Tamandua tetradactyla: one gene and its partners. The protein of the gene in region 3 interacts with the protein of the main gene of each other region in a pairwise test. Links are inferred from orthologs where the notes say so. Each region holds a gene or a part of one and is shown on either strand. Other genes may lie near its edges. The genes, in order: KIF3A, XPNPEP1, DISC1 and RABGAP1.

Evidence for each region.
Region 1: the proteins of DISC1 (region 3) and KIF3A interact in binary tests that used the Homo sapiens proteins (3 or more experiments, as listed by UniProt). The link is inferred for Tamandua tetradactyla from reciprocal best matches to the Homo sapiens genes DISC1 and KIF3A.
Region 2: the proteins of DISC1 (region 3) and XPNPEP1 interact in a two-hybrid assay, tested with the Homo sapiens proteins (2 studies listed by BioGRID and IntAct). The link is inferred for Tamandua tetradactyla from reciprocal best matches to the Homo sapiens genes DISC1 and XPNPEP1.
Region 4: the proteins of DISC1 (region 3) and RABGAP1 interact in a two-hybrid assay, tested with the Homo sapiens proteins (2 studies listed by BioGRID and IntAct). The link is inferred for Tamandua tetradactyla from reciprocal best matches to the Homo sapiens genes DISC1 and RABGAP1.

What each region holds. Positions count from the first base shown.
Region 1 is NC_135346.1:11,484,263-11,491,973, forward strand, and holds the start of KIF3A (kinesin-like protein KIF3A), read right to left. Parts: upstream 3,019-7,711; 5' UTR 2,852-3,018; coding exon 2,846-2,851; intron 316-2,845; coding exon 42-315; intron 1-41. UniProt on the Homo sapiens protein: Microtubule-based anterograde translocator for membranous organelles. Plus end-directed microtubule sliding activity in vitro. Plays a role in primary cilia formation. Plays a role in centriole cohesion and subdistal appendage organization and function.
Region 2 is NC_135339.1:71,769,598-71,777,064, reverse strand, and holds the start of XPNPEP1 (xaa-Pro aminopeptidase 1), read left to right. Parts: upstream 1-4,444; 5' UTR 4,445-4,568; coding exon 4,569-4,600; intron 4,601-4,674; exon of another isoform or gene 4,675-4,695; intron 4,696-6,155; exon of another isoform or gene 6,156-6,279; intron 6,280-7,467. UniProt on the Homo sapiens protein: Metalloaminopeptidase that catalyzes the removal of a penultimate prolyl residue from the N-termini of peptides, such as Arg-Pro-Pro. Contributes to the degradation of bradykinin.
Region 3 is NC_135333.1:1,470,528-1,477,489, reverse strand, and holds the start of DISC1 (disrupted in schizophrenia 1 protein), read right to left. Parts: upstream 3,009-6,962; 5' UTR 2,899-3,008; coding exon 2,026-2,898; intron 1-2,025. UniProt on the Homo sapiens protein: Involved in the regulation of multiple aspects of embryonic and adult neurogenesis. Required for neural progenitor proliferation in the ventrical/subventrical zone during embryonic brain development and in the adult dentate gyrus of the hippocampus.
Region 4 is NC_135328.1:44,787,822-44,794,716, reverse strand, and holds the start of RABGAP1 (rab GTPase-activating protein 1), read right to left. Parts: upstream 3,002-6,895; 5' UTR 2,913-3,001; intron 2,880-2,912; coding exon of another isoform or gene 2,812-2,879; exon of another isoform or gene 2,755-2,811; intron 1-2,754. UniProt on the Homo sapiens protein: May act as a GTPase-activating protein of RAB6A. May play a role in microtubule nucleation by centrosome. May participate in a RAB6A-mediated pathway involved in the metaphase-anaphase transition.

The DNA of each region.
Region 1 (7,711 bases), on a different chromosome or scaffold from region 3:
CTGTTTTTTTTAAAAGTAAACTATGTGAAGTACTCACTCACCATTGTAACCTTCAAGAACAGAATCAATAATAGGCCTCGCGGTTAAGTTATAGACGTCAAGCTGTTTACTCTCTGGTCCAAAAACCGTATCAAAAGTAAAGGTCTTGGGAGGTTCATTGGAAGAATCAGTCTTATGCACAGTGATAGTTCCCCTCATCTCATCCACACCGACCGCCTGCTTGTAGCACATCAACTTCTCTCTCTCATTGAGAGGCCGGCACCTCACAACCACCTTCACATTATCACAGCTTTCCGGTTTCTCTGATTTGTTGATCTGGTGGAGAAAATACTCACAGGTAACAACAAGCACATTTACTTTTACCCTTAAAGATTAATTCATGATTTCAGAGGAGCTACCTTGCCATCTCAGTACCCTGTACATATTAAGCATGCCATAAATATCTTTTAAACGCAATTAAAGATCTTACAGATAAAAAAACATTTACAATTTTGAAAAGTGGCTTCTTTTACAAAAGAGGGGAAAGAAAATCTAATTACACATGTAGTAAACGCTGTTTAAGCAGAAAATGAACCAGTATATTAAAGATCGTCTTTCCTAAAAAAATCCCTGACATCATCTGAGTTCCTGACTGCAGGAAAATGTAAACATGGTTAGCAATTTTAATTTAAGAATATAGTATATGCTTTGAGACTTTGTTTTATTTCCTATGGTGCATGATTAAAATGTTTTTTATCATATAATATATCCGTAAATGGTTTGTCATCTCTACAGTGGACAATAATAAAGGCAGAAAAGAAAGTGTCATGGCAGAGAAAAATGTCTTCGTATGACTCTAATTATGAAAATTGTATATGTAAATTTCCAGTTTTGAAATCTGATATAATTAAGATTCATTAAAACACAGTTCCATTATCGAAGTGCAGAAGTTCAACTGTTTAGTTCAACGGATATCTGTTAAATTCCTGTTTCATCTACTCTTCTAAGCATTAGAGAAACAAATATAAACCATTGTCACTGACGCAGACTTTGTCATCGAGAAGTAACAGATTACATCGATACAACACACTTCTCATCACACTAGTCTAGGTCACTATCATCTCAGCCCTGGATTATTACAAACCTCCTCACTGTACCCCTGCACCTAATTAGGTTCCCCTCAGAATGCTCTTTACATGGCACTCAGAATCAAATAAACCTAATTATCTAATCACTCCCCTACTTAATACTTTTCAATGGTTTCCCAGAGATCATAGGATAAAAATAAAAATCCTTAAGGTCATCGAAAGATCTGGCTCCAGCCCATGCCTGCCTCTCCAGCTTTATCCCACAAGCCGCTCTACCTGGCTCCCTTGGCCACAGCCACACTGGCTTTTTAGGCCTTTTGTATTCACCCACTTTTTCTTATCACAGGCCTTTCCATATACTGTTCCTTCTGCTCAGACATTCCTCACTTCCCTCAGTTAACATCTACTTATCCTTCCAATCTCAGCTCAATAGCTGCTTCATCTGGGAAGGCTTTCCTGACTAGGCCAAATCCTCCTGTTACAGGAACTTATGGCACCCTGTACCTCTCCTTCATCAACTCGGCCAGTTACAGTTTTACTTCTGTTTTTTCCTTACTTGGTTAATGTCTGTCTTTCTTTCGTCCACTAGACAAAAAGATGCAGATGCGAAGCTAGGGGGGCTGAATTCAGGCCACAAATGTCTTTTGTTTGGTTCACAATATTTAATTTTTTTAAAATAAGTTGCTAAGATTTTAAAATTGAGAAATTTGACAAAAACAATCTCTAGATTCTCTTGAAAAATGAGATGATCTGATATTTCTAGGCCAGCATGCATTTCTACATGGCAACACCTCCCAAATCGCCAGAATCCATTAAGGTTAAGTGTCTTGTCTCTGAAAACGTGTGTAGTTTTCACCTCTGCCCAAGAAGGCAGGCTTCCCTCTTTCCAAGTTCAAGAACTGCCTGTTTTGCTCACTATCATCTCCAGTGCCTTGCATGTGGCTGGTGTTTAATATTAGATAACTTGAAAGCAATAACAATTCAATGCTAAATGTCAAGCACTTCAAGTTTTCTTGAGCATTATTTTACTTCATCCTCATAATGACCCATGAGGAAAAGTTTAAATGTGTGGGAACAAAGAGACCAGACAGATTAAATAATTGCCCAAGGCCTCATAACCGGTAATAATCGGACACAGCTCAAGCCTATACTGAATTTACAATGCCCCCTTATTATGTGCCCGCTAACGATCTGTGAAATCCTACAAGATAAGCAGTACCTCTCGCGCCTCCATCCCCACCCCCAAAGACACCAAACGGTAGCATTCTGCACTGCAAGCTAAAGCGCCACTATAGGAATGACAGCTCCAGCCCAGGGGAGTCCGGGTGAGGGGCCTGAAGGAGGGGCAGGCAGCCTTCGCCGTGTCGCCTTCCGGGACTCGGGACTCCGGGACTCGGCTCTTTGGCGCCTAAATGCCACCCGGCGCGGAGCATCCCTGGCATACCAACGCTGCTACCCCAGACCTTTCCAGCAGGCAGGGCTCGAGCGAAAATGCATCCTGGGGCGCAGCGCCTTTATGCCAAGCTGCGCAGGCCCCGCGGGATGCAGCAACGACAAAGGCGACAGAGCCTGCTCTCGGGTCCTTCCCACGGGCGGATGAACCCCCGCGGGTCCCAGGCCCATCCGCCTGACTCCAAAACCGCGTGGACCGCGGCGCTGACCCTGCCCCGCCCCACCCCGGCCACCCGCCGGCTCCGCGCCTCCATGGCAACGGCCGCGCCCCCGGGCCAGGCCGCTGGAAGAAGGAGCAACCCCAGAGGCTGACTGACTCTTCTCACCGGCATCGTGGCCCCCTCCCGTGCCCGACGGACGTTCCCGCCAGCGATGCGGCCCAACGACACAGGGTTTGCGGGAGCGACAGGCCAGAGATTACCGAACCACTTCCACCACGCTCTGGAGACTGCGGCTCTTCAAGCGAGAGCGCATAGTGCGCATGCGCACTCCAACCTCGCCCCACCCCGTCCCCAGACCAGGTTCCTTCGGCCCCTGAATACGCCTGCGCCGAGCCTTTCTGAGTCCATCTCCTAGGACGCCCCGCGGAGGCCGCGCCTGCGCAATGCGGGGAGTCTGCGGCGCTAGCAACCTCGCTTGCACTGGCCAGGGATCCCATACAGCCAAGACATGGGAGGAGGAGTCGCTCTTAGGTTGCATTTTCAGGCGATAGTAAATACTCTCATATTAAAAGCAATAATAGCAATTGTATTTTAGCCTTTATTGTGTCCAGCTCGCGAGCTAAAGAGTTTAAAAAGAGCAGCTTAACTGCTGACTTTTGTATGACTTGTCTCACCGTTAGAAGGTAAAGTCAGGGGCACACAGGTATCTCCAGAGCCTAGAGTATGGCCTGGCACAGAGTAGAATTTCACCGTGTACGGTGAAAGAACGAATTATCCATTTGCTTTCCAGTCTGAACCTCTTCCCTCAACACCAGACTCTTATCCCACTGCCTACTCAACATCTCCCTTAGGGTATATAATAAGCATGTCAAGTTCGTCCAAAATTGAAATCTTAATCTGCCTATCCTCCCCACCCCCAGCACCTGCAAAAACAAAACAAAACAAAACAAAGCACCTCCCCTCTCAGACTCCCCTCATCTCAATATAGCAGCCCCATTCTCACAGTTGGCTCAGGCCAAAAACACAATCTCCCTTCTCTCAAACCCCAAATCCAATCCTTCAGCAGAGCCTGCTGGATCTATCTTCAAAGTAGACCCAAAACCTGACCTCTTACTACCACCACCACCTCTCACCTGCATTTCTTCAACAGCTCAGAACTGGCTTGGTTGCTTCCATCTTGTCACTTTTTCAGTCTATTTTCAGCACAGAGCCAGAATGAAGGTGTTAGACATCATATCGAGTCTTTTCTCTGATTTCCCATCTCACAGAATAAAAGCTACAAGCTGGCTCCCATTTTTTACAATTCTCCCTCTTTGTCATTGTGCACCAACCCCACAGGCCTCCCTGCCTCATCCCGCATTCCAGGCATGCCTCCATGGTAGCGTGCAAGGCTTTTGCACTTGCAGTACAAACTCATGAAAATAGCTATGAAGCATTTTACTTAGTGGCAGGCATGTTCTAAGGGCTTTAAGTACTTTATATTTTTTAATTCATTTACTCCATGTGGTAACTGTTTGAATTGGGTAGTACCATTATCCCTATTTTACAGATAAAGAAACTGAAGCACAATGCAATTAGGTAACATGTTCAAGTCACACAGCCAGACACCAAACCCAGGCAGCCAGACAGCTCTTCCTTTAGATATCTGCCTGACCCACTCCCTCACTGACTTCAGAAGGTCTTTGCTCCAGCATCACCATCTCTACAAGGCCTACCCTATTTAAAATGACAACTTTTACCCCAGCTCTTCTTACCTCCACACCCTATTTTTTATTTCTTCATAGTACTTACCACCATCTAATATATACACACATATATATATGCATATACACTTTGTGCTGGTTTGAAAGGATTATGTACCCTAGAAAAGCCATATTTTAATCCTGATCCATCTTGTTGAAGCAGTCATTTTTAATCCCTATTGAGCACTGTAGGTTGGAAACTTGATTAAATTATCACCACAGAGATGCACCCAATTGTGGGTATTAACCTTTGATTAGAGGCAATTTGACCCCACCCATTCCAGGTGGGTCTTGATTAGTTCACTGGAATCCTTTAAAAGAGGAACCGTTTTGGAGAGAGCCACAAGAACCACGAGAGCCCACGCAGCCAGAGACCTTTGGAGATGGAGAAGGAAAACACCCCTAGGGCAGCTTCATGAAACAAGAAACCTAAAGAGAAAGCTAGGCAGACGTCGCCATGTTCGCCATGTGCCTTTCCAGTGGAGAGAGAAACTCTGAAGATAACAGCCTTTCTTGAGTAAAGGTAACTTCTTGTTGGTGCCTTAATTTGGACATTTTTATAGACTTTCTTTAATTGAGACATTTTCACGGCCTTGGGACTATAAACTTGCAACTTATTTATTGCATTCAGGCAGCTAGCAAACTAGAACAATCACTCCTATATACATATATAAAATGTTTTACTGAGATACAATTCACACACCACATAATTCTCCAATTGAAACAGCATATAATTTGATGGCTTTTAGAATATACACTGAGAAGTGCAACCATCATCACAATAAACTTTAGAACATTTTCATAATTGCAGAGAAGAAACAACCTATACCCATTAGCATCCACTCCCCATTTCCCCCATTTTTAAACTCCATCGCTGCCCCAGGCAACCACTAGTCTACTTTCTGTCTCTAAAGATGTCTGTTCTGGATATTTCTTATAAATGGAATCATACAGTGTGTGGTCCTTTGTGATTGGCTTCTTTCACTTAGCATAATGTTTTCAAAGTTCATACGTGTTGCAACATATATCAGTACTCTATCAATGTTTACAGTTGAATAATATTCCATTGTCTGGATATACTACATTCTGCTTATCCATTCATCAGCTGATGGACGTTAGGGTTGTCACCATATTTGGCTATTATAAATAGTGCTGTTATGAACATTTGTGTACAAGTTTATGTTTAAACATATGTTTCAGTGCTCTTGGGTATATATGTAAAAGTGCAATTACTGGGTCATTCACTAACTATAATATTTAATATTTTAAGGAAATGCCAAAATTTCCCAAAGTGGCTACATCATTTTACATTCCCATCAACAATTAAAAGAGTTTCAATTTCTTCACATTCTCAACACTTCTTATTGTGTATCATTTTTATTGTATCTATGCTAGCAATGTAAAATGATATCTCATTTTGGTTAGGATTTGCATTTCTTTGATGATCAATTATGTTGAACATCTTTTCATGTGCTTATTGGCCATTTGTATATCTTCTTTGGGAAAATGTTTATTCAAATTATTTCTCCATCTGAAAATTAAGTTGTCTTTTTATCATTTGGTTGTAAGAGTTCTTTATATATTCTGGGTAAAAATCCCTAATCAGATATATGATGTGCAAATATTTCCTTATATTCTGTGGATTATCTTTTCATGTTCTTGACAAGGTCCTTAGAAGCACAAACTATTTTAATTTTTATAAGTCCAATTTATTTTTTCATTTGCAGTTTGCATTTTTGATGTCATAGCTAAGAAAGCATTTCCTAACCTAAGTCCATGAAGATTTATTCCTAAATTTTCTTCTAAGAATTTCATAGTTTTAGCACTTTTGTTTTGATTAATGATACATTTTGAGTTATTTTTGTATAGAGCATGAGGTAGAGGTCTTTTGCTTATGTATATCTAATTATCCCAGCACCATCTATTGAGGAGATTATTCATTCCTCTGTTACATTTTCTTTGTTCTAGTCTATTCTGTCTGCTGTTAGTATAGCCAATGAAGCTTCCTTATGATTGCCATTTGCTTGATATATGTTCTTGTACCCTTTTACTTTCAACCAGCAAGCATCTTTGAATCTAAAGTGTGTCTCTGATAGATAGCACATAGTTGGATATTGCCATTTTTATCCAGTTTGAAATCTTTGCCTTTTAGTGGGATTGTGCAATCCACTCACTTTTAATGTTAGTTGTAACATAGCTGGGTTTATATCTGCCATTTTTTTTTGTTTTCTTTGTGGCTTATGTCTTTTTTCTCCCTCTGTTCTTCTTTTACCACTTTCTTTTGCATCAAGTGAATATTTTCTACCTTAATATTTTAATTCCTTTAATGATTTTTTCACTATATTTTTGAATTATTTTCTTAGTGGTTGCTTTAGGGTTTAAAATATAAATCTTAACTTATCAGGATCTACTTCAGATCAATACAGACTAACTCCAGAGTGATATAGAAATGTTAATATTTTATAGCTCTATTCCCACTTCCCCTTTTGTACTCTTATTGGTATACATATTATAGCTATAAATATTACAAACCCAATAATACGTTATTATACTTATTACATTATATAATTTTATGCCTTTAAAGAAGCTGAGAGAAGAAAGGAGAACAAGTTTATATTTACAGACTTTGCTATATTAACCTTCTTATTTAGCATTTCTGGTCCTCTTCATTTCTTCCTGTGGAGTTGAGTTATCATTTGTTGTCATTTCCCTACTGCACTACAGCTTTGCTTACATTTCCCTTCTAAGTGTTCTTATTGTTAAATATATTACCTTTCTACATGTTAGAGGTCTAATAATAACAATTATACATATTGTTTACACAATTTCTTTTAAAACTGCTAATAAAAGAAGGAGAAGAAATATGTAATTATACTGCTTTATAATTACCTACATAATTGCCTTTACCAGTTCTATTCATTTTTTGAATGGATTCAAATTTCCTTCTGGGGTAACTTGCTTTCAGCCTGAAACACTTCCTTTACTATTTCTCTTAAAGTGGTGTGTATTAGTTAGGGTTCTCTAGAGAAACAGAATCAACAGGGAACACTTGCAAATATAAAATTTATGAAAGTGTCTCACGTGACCATAGGAATGCAGAGTCCAAAATCCACAGGGCAGGCTGCGAAGCCGACGACTCCAATGGATGGCCTGGATGAACTCCACAAGAGAGGCTCACCAGCCAAAGCAGGAATGCAACCTGTCTCCTCTGAGTCCTCCTTAAAAGGCTTCCCATGATTGGATTTAGCATCACTAATTGCAGAAGACACTCCCCTTTGGCTGATTACAA
Region 2 (7,467 bases), on a different chromosome or scaffold from region 3:
GAACATATTTTCTTAGCTCTTTGGGCTTATTTAGGACCATTTCTCTCAATGACTTTGTCAAGGATAGCCTGGATCTGAGCCTCATCCTTGATGGTTTCTGATGCTTTTATCTTTTTCCCTGCCTATGCCTTTGCATCATATTTCATTGTATGTTTTATAATATTTGGTTGAAACTACGGCTTTTTGATATTTTAATTCCGAGGCATTTATTCCCTAAACTTGCATCCAGCTGCTATTATGACAGGGATTTCCTTGAATGCCAGGAGCTAACAAAGAAACAAAAGAAAGGAAAAATAGAAAACACCTCTCCCAGCCCTTGCAGTCTGACCTGTGAGCCCTATCCTTCAGAACTTATCCATATAATGACTTCAGAGAACAGCTCCAAGTCAAAGCATAGGGGCCTCCCTGGTTCTTTTCTGTGCACTAGACTTGTCTTGGTACTAGGACTTCCCCTGTTTATGCAGATAGGAATGTTACCTCTTTCTCAGGAAACAGTTTCCTCAGGTTCAGGAGCATTACTCTGTGTGTCCCACAGCTAGCAGTCCCTTGCCTCAGACAGCAAGACCTGACTCTTCTCCCACAATGTCCTGTAGGAGAACTCTATGAGCTACCTTTTTATAGGCAGGGCAAGTTCTAGGATAGTGATCTCTCAGGCCCGCCACCAGACAAATCGGACCAGACATACATGCTCCCATAGAATGCACAAGGATTACTCTCTTCCCTCTGGAACCAGGACCAGGGACCCACCCTGGGAGCTCTGTGCCCAAAAGGGGTAGGGAAGGGACCAGCCAGGGTGCCAGAAGGTCCTACCACTTTAAAGCAGCCTTTTCCTTGACTCAGTCAGTGCTCATTCTGTTACAGAAGTCCTTTAGCTGGCTTTTTTTTTTTTTTTAAGCTTTGAGAAAGATGTTTCTGCCAATTCTTGTTGGTTGTTGAAAGTTTCTGTGGAGGGATGGGGCCCAGAAACATCTCACTCCACCATCTTCTAAGTTTCCTTTTAATAAAAACATTTGCAAAAGAAATGAAGAGGCAGAGCAAAATTAAAATCACCCCAAATTCTGCCATCTAGAGATAACCATTGTTAACAGTTTGTGCATCATTTTCTTTTTATTCTAAAAAGTATATATATATAAATCTGTATCTCTATGTTTATAGATATATATGTATCTATAAAAATTAAATATGTTGTTTTGTAATCTAATATTTCCATTTATTATTTCATGGTTGTCTATATTAATAAACTTATATCTTCATGTATAAAATTCACTTGTACAGATGGAACATAACTAGTTCAACGAGGAATCTTTTGTTTGCAAACAAAGGCAAACCCATGTCAAACTGACTGAAAAACAAAAGGGAAATTTTGGCTGACCTCTGAAAAGTCTAGTGGGAGATCTGGCTTAAGGTGTGGCTGGATTTAGGGCTCAAATAATGTTATGATGTTTCTGCTTTTTTCCTCCCTCTGTTCTTTTTTCTGCTGCTTCAGTGCCATTCTGATGTTGCATGCACAGGCAGCAGTTCCAGAGTGTTTGTATCCAGGTTCTGGCCTGGCAGAGGAGGACAAGGTTCTGCTCCAGCACTCAAAGCAAAAATCTCTTTGCCTTGCATTAGTCCCCTAACAATCTCTCTTAGCCTATCGTTGTGGTTTATGCCTGGGTCATATGATACATGCCCGGAATCTGAGTGTCTCACCAGCATAATATAGACCAAGGATGGGGGAATGAGGAAAGCAGAGTGGAAAAGAGTGGTGGATCCACAGAGGGAAATGGTCACAAGAAGGAGCTGAATGGATGTTGGATGGCCAAAATAACAGGTTCAGTTGTACATTTAGAGCTTGTTTCCACCTTCTTCACATGCCTGGCTACATCTAAGGCCCACCCAGTTTGAATTTGAATGATGAAACTGGGTTTTTCCTCTTTTCCACTGCATGCACTAGAAGTTGGATGAGTGACCTCTAGGGTCCCTTATGATATAACTTAGTGATTTTGTTGGAGACAGGAATCCATCCCACTGCCTGAACGTATGTGGCAGTGTCACCACTTACTAGCTCGTGGAATCCTGGGTAAGTGATCAATCTCTGTAGGCCTCCTCCATCAGTAAAATGAGGACTTTGGTCATTGGTTTGTTGTGGGCCAGGCACAGAGTGCACAGTAAATATTAGTAAGTATCACTGCTACACCCCTTAATAGATATCAGGGCTCTACCTCTTAATAGATATGAGGACCGCCAGAGCCAAGAGAGAAACTTGACCTCAGCAGTATTCTCACTCTCTAGAGATAATTCAGTTCAACTTCTCAAGCGGGGGAGAGGGAAGCTTGTGGTTATCCTACAGATAGGAATTCAAATAAGGTTCCGGGAACACAAAAAATTTCTCTTTCTCCCCTAAAGCCCAGATGCTGTAAATTCTGAGCCAACGCCTCTTCTCTTAGCGTGATAACAAAATATCTGTCCCCTTTAGGTCCCACCTATATATCTCTTTGGTCTCTCCTTTACTCTCTCACAACTTGCTCTTTTCTACTGTTAAAAGAAAAACTTTCTAGCAACACAAAAATTAGCAGTTCACAGCTTCATTGAGCTATTTCCAATTTACAAGAGAGGGGTTTTCTAAATGGGGGAGGAGAGATATTTGGTTAGTATAGCATACTTATCCCTTTTTAATGGGCTATCTCTACCAGACCAAGATGAGCTAAGCATTAAACGTTGCAAAAATTGTAACTTTGTTGGGACTGCTCTGCTCTGGAAGAAATTCCTGTCCTTGGTCAGTTTTTATCTTTGAAAAAGCCCCTGTCATGTCTTGGAAAGGGGCCACTCCGGGCAACTCCCAATGCAGGTGGTCGTTTTATTTTTATTTAACACCACCATCTCTCAGATTAGGGCTAGAACCAGTCATTCCACTAATCCTCTTCTTCTTTTTGGCCCCATAAATTTGGGGAACAAGGAACAGAGTCCTGCTGCTTTTCAAGGAGCCATATTTTTTAGTTCTTTCACACTTTTCTTACAGGGTTTAATTTGGCTTGTCAAAATGTGCTATAGGGTCTAATTTAGCTTGTCTAATTTAGCTTTTCTGAATTGAATAATGCTTAGAACTCTGAATTCTTGTAGGCAGCAGAACCTATTTGATTTAGGTATGGATTCACATTTTTAAAAATGTGGCTACTTTAATTCAGCAAATATTTCTTAAGTGCTGATTCTGTGCCAGGTGCAGTTTTACGTACTTAATGATGAACTGGAGAGCCACCATCCCTGCCCTTAAGGAGCGCACATTCTGGGGACATTCATTAATGTAGAAAATATGTATTGAGAATGTACTACCTCATTATTCATTGTTCATCATTAAACAAAATAGGCACAATCCCTGCACTGATGGTCATGTGGGACACAATACAAAAAACAAATTTTTAGCATGTTAAAAGAGGATAAACGCTATGGGCTAAAAAGGAGCAGGGTAAAGGGGATTAGGAATATATGCAAATATTTTAACAGTTTTAAATATGGTTGTCAAGGAAGGCCTCATTGAGGTGCTATGTGAGCAAAGACTTAAAGGCAAGGCGAAGGCCAGGTGAGGAAATGAGCCCCCACATTTGGGGGAAGAACTTTCCAGACAGAGGAAAGAGCAAGTCCAAAGGCCCAGGGCATAAGGGTGTCCAGCTTTTCCAAGGACTAGCAAGGAGGTCAGTTTAGCTGGAGCAACATGAGCAAGGTGAAAGCAGCAGGAAATGAGGAACCATGGAAGAAGTGCTGAGCAGAGAAGTAACGTGATCTAAGACTTCACGGGATCCCTCTGGCTGCCGGGTTAGGCAAGCCTATATGGGCAGGTATAGGGTGGCAGCAGGGAGGCCAGGAAGCGGTAAGTGACACAGACCGGAGGGGTGACAGTTGGAGGTGGTGAGAAGTGGTTGCATGACGGATCTATTTTGAAAACAGGGCCAAGACTTTCCAGCTGACCGCATGCGGGGGATATAAAGAGAGTCGGGAGGCCTCTCAGATTTTTGGCACGAACCTCTGTAAAAATGGAGTTGCCATTGACTGAGACCGAGAAGATTTTGGTGGAGCAGGTTTTTGTTTTGCTTTGGTGCGTTGGACTAGGGGTTCCGTCTGGCAGGTTCAGTTTGACCTGCCTATTAGCTATCTAAGTGGAGTGGGCACCTGCGTTTTAAGGCTGTCTGGCGAAATATTTTGGGGACATTTCTAAAGCCCTCAGGGCCCTGTCGAAGTCCTTCCAGAACTGGCCGCGTCGCCCTCCTCTCCGGTCTCCTAAAGGCCGGGACATCCCTGGGCCAGCAACTCGGGCCGCCACCGCCTCTTCAGCCAGGTCTTTGGAGAACGGCGAGAAAAAGCAGCAGTAGGGACGACGCGCCGCCGCGCGGCGACCTTTGTCTCGGACCCCGAGCCCGCGGCGGGTGCGCGGGGCCGCAGCGTGAACTGACGTCACAGAGGAGGCGTGGCCGCCGCCGGGCGGGCCTCTGAGCCGCGGCCTGGTTGTGCGCGGGCTTCTCTCCCTCCCGCCTTGGATCGGTGATCAGCTGGTCTGCGCTCCCCTGACGTGGGCCGGAGCACGTCACCGCCGAATGGCAGCCTCCAGAAAGCCACCGCGAGGAAGGTGAGGGCAATCTGCCGGGGAGCCGGCGTCCGGGCAGCGTGCGGCCCGCCGGGCCCGGACGCGCGGGTGGCATCCTCCAGGGCAGGGACTAGCCGGTGAGGAGCGGCCGGCCGGCGGGAGTCGGGCGAAGACCCGGGCGCGCGGGAGCCCCCGGAGCGGGAGCTGGGGGAGGGAGCCATGCAGCCCGGCAAGTTATGGTGCGTTTCCGGCGGGGCCACGGGCACCACCGAGCAGCCCGAGCCCGGTCCTCGGCGGAATGTATCTTCGGTGCTGCCCCGCGCGGCCCGAGGGAACAGTGGTCATCGCCCGGCCCCCGGCCCCGCAGGAAGGCCCTGCTGTTGCAGGAAGTTGATCCCTCAGGGCCCCTCCTCCGGTCGGGAGAGGTGGGCGAGCCCCTCTCGTCGTCTCCTTTCCCCGAGAATCTAATCCTCAAGTTACAACCCTGACATACTGACACCTGCTATTCGCCTTAGTGATCTGTCACCACCACAGCGAGAGCAGCGAGACCTTCCCCACCCACATGATTTCAGAGACCGTGTAAGGGAATATTTTGGCATCATCTCCAGGAAAATCCCACCAGTAGCTTGCCCAGGGCTCTTCCTGGGCACAGGGAGGTGAGAAGGAAATTTGGCATTTGCACCCCCCTCCCCCAACGGGTCTGACTTTAAACACGTTTCAGCCAGTTTTCACCCCTAGCAGGGTATACTTCTCAGAGCTGCTAACAAAACAGTAGACTAAGAGACAAGATCAGAGTTCACAAAGGCCTAAGCCAAACTTCTAGGCAATCCACATGGGGTCACCTAACCTTCAGCCAGTTGAGAGCTGAATGAACACAATTAGCAGCAAGGCCAGGTTCACTTGCTAAAGACAGGCCATGGGTGTGCATGTGTTTGTGAGTGGACAGATCCCAAACAGACACTGACCTGTATTTGATCTTGCTACAGCATGTTAGGGGTAGCAGAGAACCAGATCTGCCCTGTGGAATGGTGTGGTGAGGTGTGACAAACCTCTGTGAGGAAGGAGCTGCCTGTGAAGTGCTGACAATAGGTTCAGGCTAATGGATAATGATGTGTTAGGCTTTACATGGAGAGGCAGCCTATGAGGACCAACATGGTCTTTGCTAGATTCACAGAATCACAGGTCCCAAGCCCTGGTGGATGAGCAGATGAGAGTCACATCGACCATGTGGACAGAAAGTGGAGAAGGGGTGTTCTCCAAAGAAAAACCAAGGTGCTCTTATCAAAAACAAGGAGGGATGTCTTGCCTGGGTAGTCAAAGATAACACTTACCCCAGCCTGGAACATGTTCCATTCTACCCTTATCTCACCTCGCTAGGCATGATTGGTCCTTGTCTTGCCCTGTTCTAAGTGCTAAGTGTGCATGACTCTCATCATGGACTGGGAGGGTACTTAAAGGTGGGTGGGTGATCTAGCACCTAGCTGGGATTTCTTAAAAAAAAAAAAGAGGCAGAAAATTGGGTAGTTTGTGGCAGTTTTAACATAGCCATTTTATGAAAGACTGAACAAGAATTCCTCTTTCCTTCTATCTGCCTCAGCACTCATCATGATCTTAAGACAGTGCAGGCCAAGAAAGTCCTGGGAAAGGAAAGAACACTGTGCTGGAAGGTTGGAGGCTTTGCCTCATTCTAGCTCTGTCACCAACTAGCTGTGAGGCCTTGAGTAAGTCACTTGATCTCTCTGTTTCTTAGTCTCTTTGTCTAGAGGAGGGAGTTGAGTTGAATGGTCCCTGAGGTCCATTTTTTTCTATTTCTGATGCTCAATAGCTGTGCTTTGACTGAGAGCCTGTTAGTGTATCTGTCAAAGTGAAAGAAAGATGAATGGATCTTGGACTCTACAGAGACCAGGTGTGACAGCAGCAGAATAACTGATGTTCAACTACTTGATGGCTCCTTTGATCCTGCAGGAAGGGAAAGGTGAAGGTGATGCTTATTTGGAAAGCTTGAGCTCACCTATTGAGAGACCTGGTTTCTGGTCTTGACTTTATAGCTACTGAGGTTGTTTGGCCTGTGGTGAGTTATCTTTATTTCCTTTCCTGTAAAATGAATGAATAATATTATTTCTAGTACTAGAGAGCATTAGAGAGTCCCTCCACCTCTCAAGTGCTTTGTCTGGACCAGTCATTGGGACAAGTTAACTTTGAATTTGTAGGGAAACTAACTTTCTTGGCTCACCATGCTGCAAACTTATGAAGTCAAAGGAATATCGAGTGAGAATATGTTGTTTGCTTGTTCAAGAAAAATAGAAGTCTTATTTTTAAAAATTTATAACAGCTTTATTGAGATGTAAGTCACATATCATACAATTCACCTATTAAAGTATACAGTTCATTGGTTTTTAGTATATTCACAAAGTTGTACAACGATCATCAGAACAAATTTCAGAACATTTTCATTATCCCCCCAAGAAACCCCATACCCTTTTGTAGTCACACGCTATTTTTCCCAATTCCATTTCAACCCTAGGCAACCAGTAATCTACCTTCCGTTTCTATTGATTTGCCTTTTCTGGACATTTCATATAAGTGAAATCATACAAGTGGGTTTTTTTTGTGACTGGCTTCTTTCACTTAGTATAATGTTTTCAAGGTTCATCTATATTGTAGCATGTATCACTACTCAATTCCTTTCTATTGCCAAATAATATTCCATTGTATAGATAGACCACATTTATTTATCCATTCATTAGTTGAGGGACATTTGGGTTGTTAACAATTTTTTTTGGATATTATGAATAATCCTGCCATGATTACATTTACAAATTTTTGATCTCTCTTAGCCACTGAAGCCTTATTTTATTATACTTCTTATCCCCTTTTTGGTCAGAAAGGCTTTGTTGATCCCAGGGTAC
Region 3 (6,962 bases):
GTCTCACATTAGGGGGAAGGGCAGTGGTTCACCCGCTGAGTTGTCTGTGGCCTATCTTCCCACAATTAATTATTTCAGTAAAATAATATTAATCAAGCACTTGCTGAGGACTGGGAAGTAATTTAGGTATCAGACATGCAAAAACAACTAAGAGAGGTCTTAGTTAGTCAAGTGGGGAATTGGGACCCATGAACAAATTATTACTAAATGTGGTGGGTGCTACAATGGGGCAGTCCAAAGTGCTATGGGAATGAATTGGAAGGAGGGACTTCTTTGGTCTAGATGGGGTAGGAAATGTCTCAGAAGAAGTGGCAATGGAGCATCATTGAAAGTGAAATGAAGGAACTTAACAGATGGAAAAGTAAGGAAAGGTCATTCTTGGCAGAGGCAAAGCCATGAGAAAAGGCACTGAGGGACGAGTCCCTATGGTCTTACAGAGAACGGCAAGCAGTGCCCAGTGGCTGAGGCTGGCAGCTGGGGGCAGATTGGGACAACTCTTTTGATTGTTGGAATAAGATGCTCAGATGTTATCCTGAGAGCAGCAATGAGCCTCAAAGCTTTTAAGCTAAGGAGTGGCACTGTGTCACCTATGTTTCAGGAAGAGAGGTCTGCAGGTCAGTTGTGGGATGAATTGGAGAAGAGAGAAACTGGAGGAGGTTAAACATGTTAAGAATCTCTTGAGAAACCCAAGTGAAAGATAACACAGACTTGAGCTAGGAGGTGGCAGTGAGAACTATCTTAGTGGTGGAAGTGAGAGGACTTGGAGCTTGATCAGATGCAGGGAGGGAGAGAGAGGAAGGGTTGACGATGACTGAGGCATTGGATGATTCTATTAAATCAATCAGCAAATATTTATAAAACATGAGGCACTTCCGGACAGGCTTGGTGGGAAAGGTGATGGCGTCAGTGTTGGGCATGTCCAACTCGAGGACTGCGCATATCATCCAGGAGCTGCCTCTCTGCCCTGGCTTCACAGTCTCCCTGCGTCATAAACGAGATGACTGGGCTGAGGTCTCTGAGGGCTGGATTTGGGCAAGAAGGAATGAGGTTAAGATCATCAAGCTCCAGGTAAAGAATTGAAAGTAAATAAGATAGGATTTCTGGGCATGAAAATGAACTTCCACATTTTCAAATACTTCTACCAAATGTCTGATGAGTGGGTGTTCACTTCCCTACCTGTCATGCCCACTCACATTTACATAAAACATACACACACACACATCAGAAAAAAAAATGCAGTCCTTCAGTGGGTCAGCCCTCCAGTCCAGTAGGTGAGCCATAAAGTATCTCTACCTGGGTTCCTCTGGGAATCTTTTTTGGGTAGAACCGCCCTTCCCCTCCCAGCTCTACCCACCACTCAGATAGCTAGATGGACAACAATCCAGTAATGCTACAATTTACATCTATGCATTTCTTTCTAATTTCCAACTACTGTTGTTCTCATTTGAGACTCAAAACCATCCTATGAGGTATTGTCATCCCCACTATCTAAATAAGGAAACTGAGATTCAGAGAAATTTAATGACCAGAAAATAAATCTCCTAACTGTATATAGAACAATTTCCATTGCCGCAGGATGAAATGAGAGGAGTAAATACAGATGAAGATTGAAATTACCCTGAATGGAAAGCATCACTGTTTTCTTCTCACTCAACCCCTTCCAAACACCAGCTCAATCTTCCCTTCCCCTGTCTCCATTTCCTGTTTCAAAATGAGCTAGGCTGAGCCAACCATGTCTCACCAAAGCCAGGGACTGCAGAGGAACCTATGGGTCAGCAGAGAGCAACTCGGAGCATCAGAGTCACAGGGAAGATCTAAATGCAAACAGATTTGTGTCTAAACTGAAAAGGAAGAAACAGAAGTGCAGTCACATCTTTTTTGCAGCCAGCCAACACGTGGAGCTGCTGTGGCTTCCGGGAGGGGAAGTAGGACAACACAGCACCCAGTCATTTCCTGCCCTTTGTCCAGTTGCTAATCTGAGTTTTGGACAATCCTGTGGGGCTCAGAGGGGGAGGGGACACCAACCTTCAACTGCTTCTGGTTGCTCAGCAGACACTCCCGCAGCACAGGCTCGTATTTCTTGATCAGGGTGTCCCAACCGACATCATCCCCCAAGGGGCTGTCCTCGCAGGCAGAAGAGCCAGGCAACAAAGAATCCAGGGAACAAGGGGAGGCAGCATCCGTGTCTAATAAAGAGAGCGTCTCACACTCCGGCCTGGGGCTGCTCTGTGCAGTCTGGGCAGAGTCTGCCAGGCCCCAAGTAGCCTTGAGATCGAATGGCTGAAAGAGAAGTGGAGGGTCCTCTTGGGGCCTCTCCGAGCCGGCAGCTTGGGCTTTCATCTCCTCGGAGCCCTGGCGAGGTGCCTCGGCCTCCTTCGATGGAGGGCAGCCTTCTGCCTCTCCACGTTCCCCAGCGGAGTCAAGGCAGAGCCTTATGAAGCTAAAGCTCGAGGTAAAGACCTCATGAGAGCTGAAAGGGGCCAAGGGGGCCTTAGGGCCACTTCCCCAGCTGCGGCTGTTGCTCTTCGCTCCCTTTGGAGCCAGAGAGCTTGCTGCCCCAGCACCCCTCACTCCTTCACCATAGGCTGCATCCCGAGTAGGGCCTGGGACGTCAGAACTCTTCATGGATGGAAACTCTCCCTGACACCCAGAGTCCCCAGGGCTGCAAGACCTGGTTAGCCAGTTGGGAGGTTTGGTACCAGCTCTGAGCTGAATTTCAAAGCGCCCTGAGGTTTCTCCTCCTGGGGTCAGAGCCATAGGTATCCCAGCTGGGGCCGCAGTGCTTCCAAGTGAGGGGTCTGGCCACTGGCTTCCAGAGTCCCGGCTGCCCTGTCCAGCCTGGAGCTCAGAGTGTTGGTGCTCCCCGCCGCATGCCACTCCCTGGGCACCAAATAGCATGCCAACCACCGGGGAGAGACATCCAACCCGGGGTCCAGCCGTGGTTCTCAGGTAGCCTGGCCTCCTTGCCAGCCGCGTCTTCCCAAAGGATGCTGCAGGTGGTAAGCCATCCTGGCTGCCTGAGAAAAGAAAGAGGACATGGCACCATAAACATTCAACCCTCACAGGCTCAGCTGCAACAGCTTCTGGAGAACAACCCCAAGTTCAGGGTGCTCTCTCCCTGCACACCCCTGGGGTTGACTGCCAAAAACAGACAGATGCTGGCTCACAGCTTTGAGGGGCCTGGGTCAGTGTTTGCCTTGGAACATGCAGAAAGGAACATGGCATCTCGGCTCCCCTGCCTCCCAGGGCCGCTGGCAATGCTGTAAATTATGCCAACAGGTCAGCATGAAAATTGGAGGCACAAACTTGGCTGCTCCTTCTGAACCCTCTGCAAATCAGCACTTTCATCCCAGAGTGGGCCTGGAAAGCAAGTGATTTGAAACCGGAAAGCCACAACCATGAGTCAATCATTTATTGTAGCTACTCCTCTGTGAATTTCAATGATTCCTCGTTGCCTGGCTGTGATCACAGCTGCATTGCATATGCCTCTCAATTCATCTGGTAGATTGCAGGAGAGCCCCGGGTGGTGGGTTCTCTAGAGCAGAGGCTGTGTGACACTCTCAGCTAGAGGACAGGAATGGTATTGACAAATGCTGACACCTGATAGAGGTAGTACAGTGGAGCAGTTGACAGCAAAGACTCTGGCACTGCATTACCTGGTTCAAACCGGGGCTGCACCACTTGCTAGCTGGGTGACCTTCAGCAAGCTTTCTTTACCTCTCTGTGCCTCAGTTTCCTTATCCGTAAAATGGAGATTTTAACAGTACCTTGTTCTTTAAAGAGTGTTAAACTAAATGAGTTAATACATGTAGAGAGCTTAGAACAATGCCTGGTACACGTAAGTGTTAAAAAAAAGTGTTAGTTTTTATTTTTACATTGCATTGTACCTTACTAGCCATATAGCATTTTCACCTACATTAAATTCATTTGCTCCTGCCCATGCCATGTGAATCAATCAATTCATGGTTGTGTGGATGAGCCAGCTCAAGTGCATAAAAGTAAGACAAGAGTTCACTGAACACAACTCTAGTTAGACAATAGCCTGCAGCAAGAAGTGGGACAGAGCTTCACTCCATGTCCAAAATCCTTCCCTCTGCCTGTTAGAGCATACACAAACCCAGGGTCTTTGTCAGGTTTAGACATTTAACCATGGTGCTGCACAAGTGCCTGGATGGATGTCAATGATAATCCTGTACTTTGCCACCTGGAAATATAAGCATTATAGCACACAACCACCCACTCCCTGACTTTGAGCATTTGGAGATGAGATGACCCAAAATATATTCACCCAGTGACCTGCTCTCTGCTAAATGGGGTATGCCAACTTCTGGGGACCCCAGGAAGAGTGATACTTCCCAGTATACACTGGCTTTCTGGAAGCTTGCAGTTTTGCTTTGCTAATGGCTGCTGAAACACAATATACCAGAAAGAGAAGAGCTTTTAAAAAGGGAATTTATTATGTTACAAGTTTACAAGTTGAAGGCCATAAAAATATCCAAACTAAGGCATCCAGAGAACGGTACCTTGACTCAAGAAAGGCCAATGTCTGTCACATGGAAAGGCACATGGCTGGCATCTGTTGGTCCTTATTCCCTGGTTCCATTGCTTCTAACTTCTGATGCAGTGGTTTCCTCTCTAAGTGTCTGTGGGTCTTCAGTTAACTCTTCCAGGGCACAACTGTGGATTTAGCATCTCATGGGAAAGCCCATGGTGATGTCTACTGGGCTCTGTATCTCCAAACATCCATGTCTAGGCATCGGCACTCCAAGCATCTCCAAATATCCGCATCTGTGGGCTCTAAAGCAATTGTGTCTCCTGGGGCTTCTGCATTTCCAAACGTGTGCATCTGCATCTGAGGTTTTTCCAAAATGTTCTTCCTTTTAAAGGACTCTAGTAAACTAATCAAGACCCACTTTGAATAGGCGGAGTCACATCTCCATCTAACCAAAAGGCCACAGCCACACTTGGGTGTATGGAAACAGTCCAATCAAAGTTTCCCACCCTAAAGAACAGGTCTGGCCCACAAGATTGGATCGGGATTAAAGTCTGGCTTTTCTGGGATACATAATCGTTTCGCACTGGCACACTTGCAGTGAAGGGAGGAATGAAAATAGTTTTAGCCAGGAAGGAAGTAAGAGGAAAACAGGTAAAGGAAGGGAGGGAAACAGTACAGGAGCTAGACCTGGGAGACAGGCCCCGTTCTCATTTTATAGACAATAAAATCAAAGCCAAGAAAGCTTTAATTTGCCCCTGAATTCTCAGATAACAGACTAGCAGAGCCTGGTTTTGAAGAAAGGCCCATCTAATCCCAAAGTAAATGCTCCTTCTACTTTACCTCCTACTCTATCAATTGGGATGATAACTTAAAATGACAGGATGGCAGATGTTTTTTCTTTTTTCTTCATGACAGAGTCCAAAGGAAGAACAGCAGAGAAGGATATGATGAAAATGTACAGAGGGAATAATTAATAAGCCAAATGGGGTGTCTATGCACTGTGGTCCGACAGGGAGTTCCCACGTCCTCTTTGCCAAGTATGTCATCCTAGGGAGACACGACGTGCCCTGCCGTGTCTGGGACCCACCAGCAGGAAGAGCAGGAGGAAGAGGCTGTGGGAGGAGAGAGGGTCCACAAGGACTAATTCTTGTCTCCCCTATAAAACTGGCAAAATATTTTCTAATGAACAATGAGTCCAAAGGAAATAGAAAAGAATATTGAATTCTGGCTTCGATTGCTGAAGGAAAACAATTCAACAATTTCATATCATGAAAAATGAATCCAGTGAAATCTGTGTTGTCTTTTGGCTAAAAGCTAAAAGCTATCAGCACAATGCCGAGAGGAAAATAAATTCGTTTGCAATTTCATTTCTTTTAAAATGCCTGAAGGCACTTAACCAAGGGCATCTGAAACTCCCCCAGGCCAGGTTCCAGTCGCTTGCACAAAGCAGTTCCCCGATGGGACCCAACGCTTCTACTGAGGTTCGTGATCAGCAAGAAGCAATGAGCAACAGGCAGTGAGGACGAAAGTACAGGGTTTCTCAAAAGTGCGGGGTGGGGGCAGGCCATGATGACTCAGCAGGCAGAGTTCTTGCCTGCCCATGCAAAAAGATTTTAAAAAAAAGAAAAAAGTGGGGGGTTGAGAGGAGGAGGGCTCCATACACAGATGAGCCGCCTCCTGCACCCCACCTGAGCACTCATGCACCCCTCCCAGAAGCGGTCCCAAGAAGTGAGACCGGGGCAGCAGCAATCCTAACCCTCAGGAGCGTAGGAGAGGGCACGAGGGGCCACAGAGGGGCTGACAGAGCTGCGATCTGGAGGGGGCCTCTGCAGTGGGGCTGCTTCCCACCCCTCCACCTCAACCCCCTTTGGAAATTTAAGGCAGGACCCTGACCAGAAATAAATGATCACTTATATACCCTGCCTGAAATCTTGCCTCTTGGAGTGGTTGAAACACCAAGCCATCACACTCTGAAGTTAGGGAAGGTTATCATTTATTCAGATCTTAGAGAGAAAGATTCCTTCTTAACACCTAACCAGTATCAGCTCCGACGGAACCAAGGTTTCCAAAGAGCAGGAAGAAGAGCTTGGTAAGGGGGCGGCAACACCCGTACGGTGCAGGCAGTCTTGAAAATTTGCCTGGGAAACCACCCTTCTCTTCTCTGTAAAGCCCAGAGGTGGCCTTTGTTCGGTCTTTCCAGCCTGCAGAGGGTGACGGGGGAGAGGGGAGCCTCAAGCAGGCTGCTCGGTTCCTCGTGCTCTCCCACCCCACACCAGATTCTAGGCAGAGAAGCGCAGACGTTCTCCTTCCCGTCCATTATCGCAGACCAGCTGCGGGTCCCTGTTGACACGCACTCCCCACCCCGCCCCTTCGCCCGCCCCGGGAGTCCTGAAATTGAAGGGAAGGAAGGACAAGAGCCTGGGATAGATGCAGACGACAAAGGTCCTCTCCGTACAGTGCAGAGAGG
Region 4 (6,895 bases), on a different chromosome or scaffold from region 3:
TATTATTAATAACATGTTGGAGTAACACAGAAACTAATTTACTAATGTACATAACAATGCCAAAGTTTATATACAGAAAAATTTACTAACACAAAGATTTACAGATCCCAAAGAATTGTGTTTTATAACACAAATGCTGATACAAACTTAACTAGAGATACATAACAACCATGCGTTAACTCTTGGAAAGGGGTAAACCCCCAAGTCTGGCAGCACAGCCATACAATTAAGACATGATTCTCATGTTTTAGAGCCATGATAATACATATATTTAATGTGAAACATAAACTTAAAAACAGGTTGAGGGCTTTATTTTATTCTTTATTGATCCACAGAGATAGGGACTCTTTGGAAAAGATAGGCTTTACAGAGCTCTTTCATGATAGGAAGAATAAGCTTCAAAAAATTCTCACTTAATCAACAACTAGTGACTACTTCTGTGTACGGTACTTGATATGGAAAAGAGGGGAAACTTTCAGGTCAAATTCTATAAACTAACATGTTCGTGACCGGCATATGGCCGTATTTGGTCAGATATTCTTTGCACATGAAGAGAAACAAAACCATTAGGGTCAACAAGAATAGTTACATTCTAAGTCTAAATGTTTAGTGATATTGTTTTTACATACAAGTCTTCAAAAGAATAAAGATTTTTAGAGAAGACAAAACTAAAGGAAAAAACTATGCAATCAAATTACATGAAAAAAAAATGACTGTTAAGTTGATGTGATGTTTTTTCAGGTATATCCATGGACATCAAGTCCTTAGCCTTGAATTTTCTTTCTTCGGGATCTGACTATGGAAAACCAATAAAACAAGGCAGTTACACACAAAACACTAAAATGTCATACCAAACGCTGCTTTAAGTACTGTGGTTAAATCAACACTTCTTTAAAAGAAAAAAAAAATTAGCACTTAAGTAATATTTGAGTTGTATCTCCAAGAAAGGTTATCTCTGTATTTATTTATTCTACACACTTAAGAGGTGTAATTATATCTGATTATATTAAAAATTACAAAGATAACATTATGGGCAGCCTATGGCAGAATCTTAGCTTATCAGTAGCATCAATTTAATCATTTTCTGAAGCCTGCACTCAAAGGTCACTTGTTAAAATAATTACCGTGAAATGATGATACCTTAAAAGCAGCTTTTACTTTAACTGGAAATAGACTCAAAGACAAAGACCTCTTTAAAAGAATCTGGATTGTATATTTCAGTTATAGTGTGTGGAAAACCCCTCAAATAGATAAGGTGCATAATACACTTCTCTCAATAATCAGTAAAAAAAAAAAAAAAAAAGGTTAGGAAACAGGTATCTTCACTTTTACAGAGTACCACTATACTATCATGTAATCCAGATTAAGCACGTGCATTAGTAAACTGCTAAAACACTATGACAAAATGTATACTCTCTAGACAAATATATATTTTATTAATGCCAACAATGAGTTAATTAACTGTAAAATGAGCTGTAAAATTGAACACATGAATTTGAGTCATTTTGTTTAAAGCTACTTGTGAATTTTAAAGGTTACCGATAAATACAAATCAATCACAGATTCAAATTTACTAATGCAAAAGGAAGTCTACAAAGGAAGGTAATAAAGAACTCTCGCCCCTATTTATTTTTAGTTTTTCTAGGTAAACTCTACTTAAAAGCCTCCAATATATATTAAAATTCCAACCAATATAGAAGTGAATAAAGCAACAGGTCCTTGATATAAAAAAGGTGGACGCGCACGTACTTGGTACATAACCTTTTTTTTTTTAATCTACTATTCAAAGATCAGTTTAGTGTGCCACAGTTCCACTCACCCTCTATTGTTTTTTTCTTCCGCAGTAAAACAGCTGGAAACACACACACAAACACGGTTTACTTCAGTCACGGGTATGAGAATACAGGTGTTTATTTGAATAAAAATATCCAACGAATTGTGAAACCCTATCTCTGTCATTTTTCACCTCTAATTAAAAAAAAAAACAAGACAAAAGCCTAAATACCTCAAATTCAAGTTAGAACATGACTTTTAAAGCAACGGAGCACTACCAGCATTATCACTGTTAACAAGGTCTCCTAGGCTACTTGGTACTAAGATAATAAAAGTAGCCGTAAGTACGGAGATGTTCTTAAGAGCAGGAGTAGACGATAAATAATCTGGATGTTAGAAGAGTAGGAGCCACAGTACAATCGGACAGTGGACAGCGAACTCCTGAAAGTCTGAGGTTGTCCCTCCGGCTCAATCACCTAAAACCATGAAGGCGACTGAGAATCAAAACATAAGAACAGCAATGAGGTATTGGGGGGGAGATGCAGAAGGGAAGAATGGAATGCCGGGACACTGTAATTGCAGGCAGGGAAAATGAGAGAGAAAGACCACGATGAGATGGAAAAGAGACCCATAAAGAAAGTATTTTAAATTAGGCGCAGCCCAGAAGTCAAGCCTGAGGTCCAAGTCAGTCTAAATTAGTAAATACAGATCCCGAGGGCAACGGGGAGAACGTGAGGAGAAACTGAGGTGGAGGGGACGGCCAGATTCCCCAGATGACTGGGCTCAGACTATGAAAGCTAAAGGACAAACCAGCCTTGCTGGTGGGCCAGAGGAACAGCCGCAAAAGCAGGACTCCGAAAGCACCTACCCAGACAGGGGGAACCGGTTTGGGTAGGGGCTAAGGGAGCGTCGTCGCCTGCGCATGCGCTGCCCTTCCGTCGCAGCTCCCGTTCGCCCTCCCCCCACCCAATCACGGCTCCCCTCAGAGGCCGGCCCGTCGAGGGAACTGAGCGCAGCCTCACTAGCCCAGACTGCAGAATGAGAAAACAGCATGGCTACCTGCAGAACCGTCAGAAGCTAGCCCCGAGGGGTTGGTGGATAAGAAGGTGGGAATAAAGGGAAGGGAAATGCGACCCTACCCGACCCGCCGCCTCCTCCGCCGCCGCCCGCCGTCCCGGAGGCTTCACCGCCTTGGCCTCCCGAGCCGCCCTCTCCCCTCCCACCCGCCCCCTACTCACGTGAGAGCAGCTCCTTCCGCCCTTTGCCCCGCCCTCTGTTCCATCTTATAGGCTGTCGACTAAACTGAGAGCTCTCATTGGCCCAACACTAGGAGGCGAGGGTTTCCTTTCCGCGAAGCCCCGCCTGAGCATTTAGCCCGCCCCAGGACTCTGCGCCTGCGTGTAGCGTACGCTTTGGGAGCTGGACGTAGGGTTGTTAGGTCAGGGTCTGCTGCAGCCGGGACTCGGAGTGGAACTGGTGATGGAAGGTAGCTGGGCTAGTGGCACCTGCTGAGTCTAGTAGGGGGTACGACTCTACGGAGTACACGAAGTGGAGCCAAGTCTCCTCCTGCTCAACTTTCAGGTTCAAGCGCTATTTGAAAAGGAGCATTTCACAGTGCGACTTAACTCACCTGTTTATTCTGGGTGCAGAGTGCGAGGGATTATGGTAGGTCTATTTACGGGTATCTCCTTTCGGCTTTACCACAAACCTGCGAGAAAGGTATGGGTTTTTTTGTTTTACAAAGGCGTTGTTATAAAATTCAGTCTAGAAGTTGTAGTATATAGATGCCTTTTTCTTACTTTCTAATGTAATGTATAATAGCCAAAAGGAAATAGCTGAAATTACTGAAACCCACTGAATTGCAAATTGTAAATCCTCTTGACTGCGCCTGCTTATACCCCCTTGCCCTGTTTTACAACTTCGGAGTCTTATAATAACTGTTACTGAAGATTATAATGTTAATGAAGAAACTTGAGTCAGCCCAACACTAAAGGAGGACTGTAGCGTTGTTACTGTCATGGTTATTTTAGCTTACTTCTAGCTTAGTTCCACTACTTTATATTTGTAATTTTTAGCTACTTGCTACTGTAATGGTTAGTTTAGCTTAGTTCTAGTTTAGCTCTGCTCCTTTACATTTGTAAATTGTAGACCTTTATATTTTTTGTTGTAATAGTAATAACTCCATCTCTCCTTGTTTGAATCCATAAAACCGTAAACTCCTTAGACTCATGGAGAGAGATTTTAGGCCAACAGGTCGTCTGTTCTCCTTGCTTCATGTAGCAATAAACTCTTTCTTCTTTTGGAACCCGGGCGTCATAGATAGGCTGTTAAACGCTTCTGTCAAAGAACCTCACCTTTGATCGGTATCAGTTTGGCGAAACTGGTGGTACAGTGATGACCGTAAAGAATAAGGACTCCAGTTGCCCAAAGTTCTGCAGCCTGGTGGGAACAGGTAAACACGGTAATCGAGCCTTTTGCAGCCACTACCCTTTTAGTCCAGAGGCGGGGCAACCGGGTTTCCCTCTGCGCTACTGGTGCCCCAGGCCCCACAGTTTTCTAATAGCATTTCTGTTATATGCATTGGACAGAGAACCCCACGTTTCCTCGGTGTCACAGTCAAAACTTCTGACTCCAAAGTCTGGGCCACTGCCTACACACAGCTGCCTTGTGGTACTTCACATACACAAAAGAGGTCAGAAATGACCAAGGTTGTTTTGGAGTGTTACTCAGAGATGAGGCTGGAATTTTATTCAGAAATCTTTCAAAAGTGAAAATACAGAGCATTGGCAATATAATGTTTAAAGTACATGTCTTTAATGAATTTACAGTGTATCTGGGAAGAAAAGGATATATCCATAACAAAGGTAGTGATTGTTGATTGGGCGCTACTTAAGTTTTGACATATAAAATATTTTTACAGCCTGTTACTTGTCACTATTCTTTATTCAAGTGGTATTATCCTCTTTTCCTGAAGATGAGTCATTTGAAATGTTTTTCAGTGGCTATTGCATGGAAATCAACCAAAGACAAACCAACAACTGTGCTCTGTTGCAGTCCTCTTTGTGACCCATCTTAACAATAGATTTAGTTGCATACCCCTACCTCATGAAAATAGTATTATTTGTTACTTAATAATAAATAATACACACATATGTAAAGTATTCAAATATTAGATAAAGTATTAGGAAGAAAGTAAAATCTGAAATCCTAACAAAATATTTTAATATTTAATTTATTTAAATATTTTGGTGTCCATTTTTCATGCATTTCTTGATTCATATGTAGACACCAATATTTACATAAATCTTGACATCCTTTTTTAATTTTAATGCATTTTTACTGATATATATTATATATTCATATACCATGTAATCATCCAAAGTGTACAGTGGTTCACACTATCATCATATAGCTGTGCATGTATCATCACAATTGACTTTTTTCTTTTTTGTGAAAAATAATATATATACAAAAAAGCAATAAATTTCAAAGCATACTCCAACAATTGTAGAACGGATTTCAGAGTTTAGTATGGGTCACAATTCCACAATTTTAGGTTTTTATTTCTAACTGCCTCAAGGCACTGGAGACTAAAAGAAACATCAATATAATGACTCAGCCATCATACTCATTTGTTAAACTTTACCTTCTCTGTACAACTCTCCCATCTCCTTTGATCCTTCTCCCTCTTCCCAGGTTTTTGGGCCATGACTACTACATCTTTTCCATGTTTGAAGGGGCTGTCAGTAATATGGGATATGGAGATGGAACTAGTCACTGTTCTGGAGAGACTGGCCTCTCTGCATTTCAGGACTTATCTGGTCTAGGGACCCATCTGTAGGTTTCTGGATTACTTTCCTAGTGCTTGGAACCTTTGTAGAATTTCATATAACGCCCTAGATGTTCTTTAGGATAACACTGTAGGTTTTCTTTATGGTTGGCAGGAATGGCCTTGTTTGGGGTTTGGCCAACTACGATAGGTAGCAGTGTCTAACTGAAGCTTGGGTAAGAGTAGCCTCCAAAGTAGCCTCTAACTCCATTTGAACTCTCTCAGCCACTGACACAACACCCTATTTGTTACACTTCTTTTCCCCCTTTTAGTCAGAATGACAATGTCAATCCCATGGTGCTGATGCCAGGCTTATCAGTTAACATACATTTTAACATAAAACTTTATTTCAGAATCACTACAGGTGCCTTGGAGAAAAATAGAAAACACAGACAAGCTAAAATAAATTCAGAACACCACACTGTTACCACCAGGGATCACAACTGTTAATACCTTAGTGCATATCCTGCTGTGTGTGTGTTTACATATTTTCAAAATGAGATCACATCATTTAAACAATCCAAACACACGGAGCTCAGAGTAAGAATAAGCCTTTAATCCTGTATAGCTTAATGTAATGTCTGGATACATCCCAGAGTATATTAAGCAGATAAAAAGTATTGGCAAAGTCTCTTGAGGGATGGGAGAAAAATTATGGAATTATTAAACTTTACAATGGGGGAACCCCAGATACTGTGTCAAACATTAGAGACACCATAATCAATAGGCCAAGCTCTTGATCTTGAGGCTTGCTCTTATGAAGCATATGTATGTAGCAGAGAAACTCAGCCTTCCTACAGGTATGCCTTAGAGTCACCTCAGGAGCACCTCTTTTGTTGATCAGATGTGGCCTTTCTCTCTCTAAGCCCAACTCTGCAAGTGAAACCATTGCTCTCCCTGCTACATGGGACATGACATCCAGGGATGAAAGTTTCCCTGGTGGTGTGGGAGATGACCCACAGGGATGAGGCTGGCCCTGGCATTATGGGATCAACAATGCCATTCTGACCAAAAGGGAGAAAAGAAGTATAACAAATAAGGTATCATTGGCTGAGAGAGGTCAAATAGAGTTGAGAGGCTACACTGGAGGTCACTCTCATGCATACTTCAGTTAGAAATGATTACCTATCGTACCTTGCCAAACCCCAAACAAAACAATTCCTGCCAAGCCTAAGGAATACCAAGGCATTATGTAAGATTTTACAAAGGTTCCATGCACTAGGGTTAACTCCCCAAAACCTACAACCTCCAGATAAGTCTTGAAATGCAGAGGGGCCAGCCTTTCCAGAACAT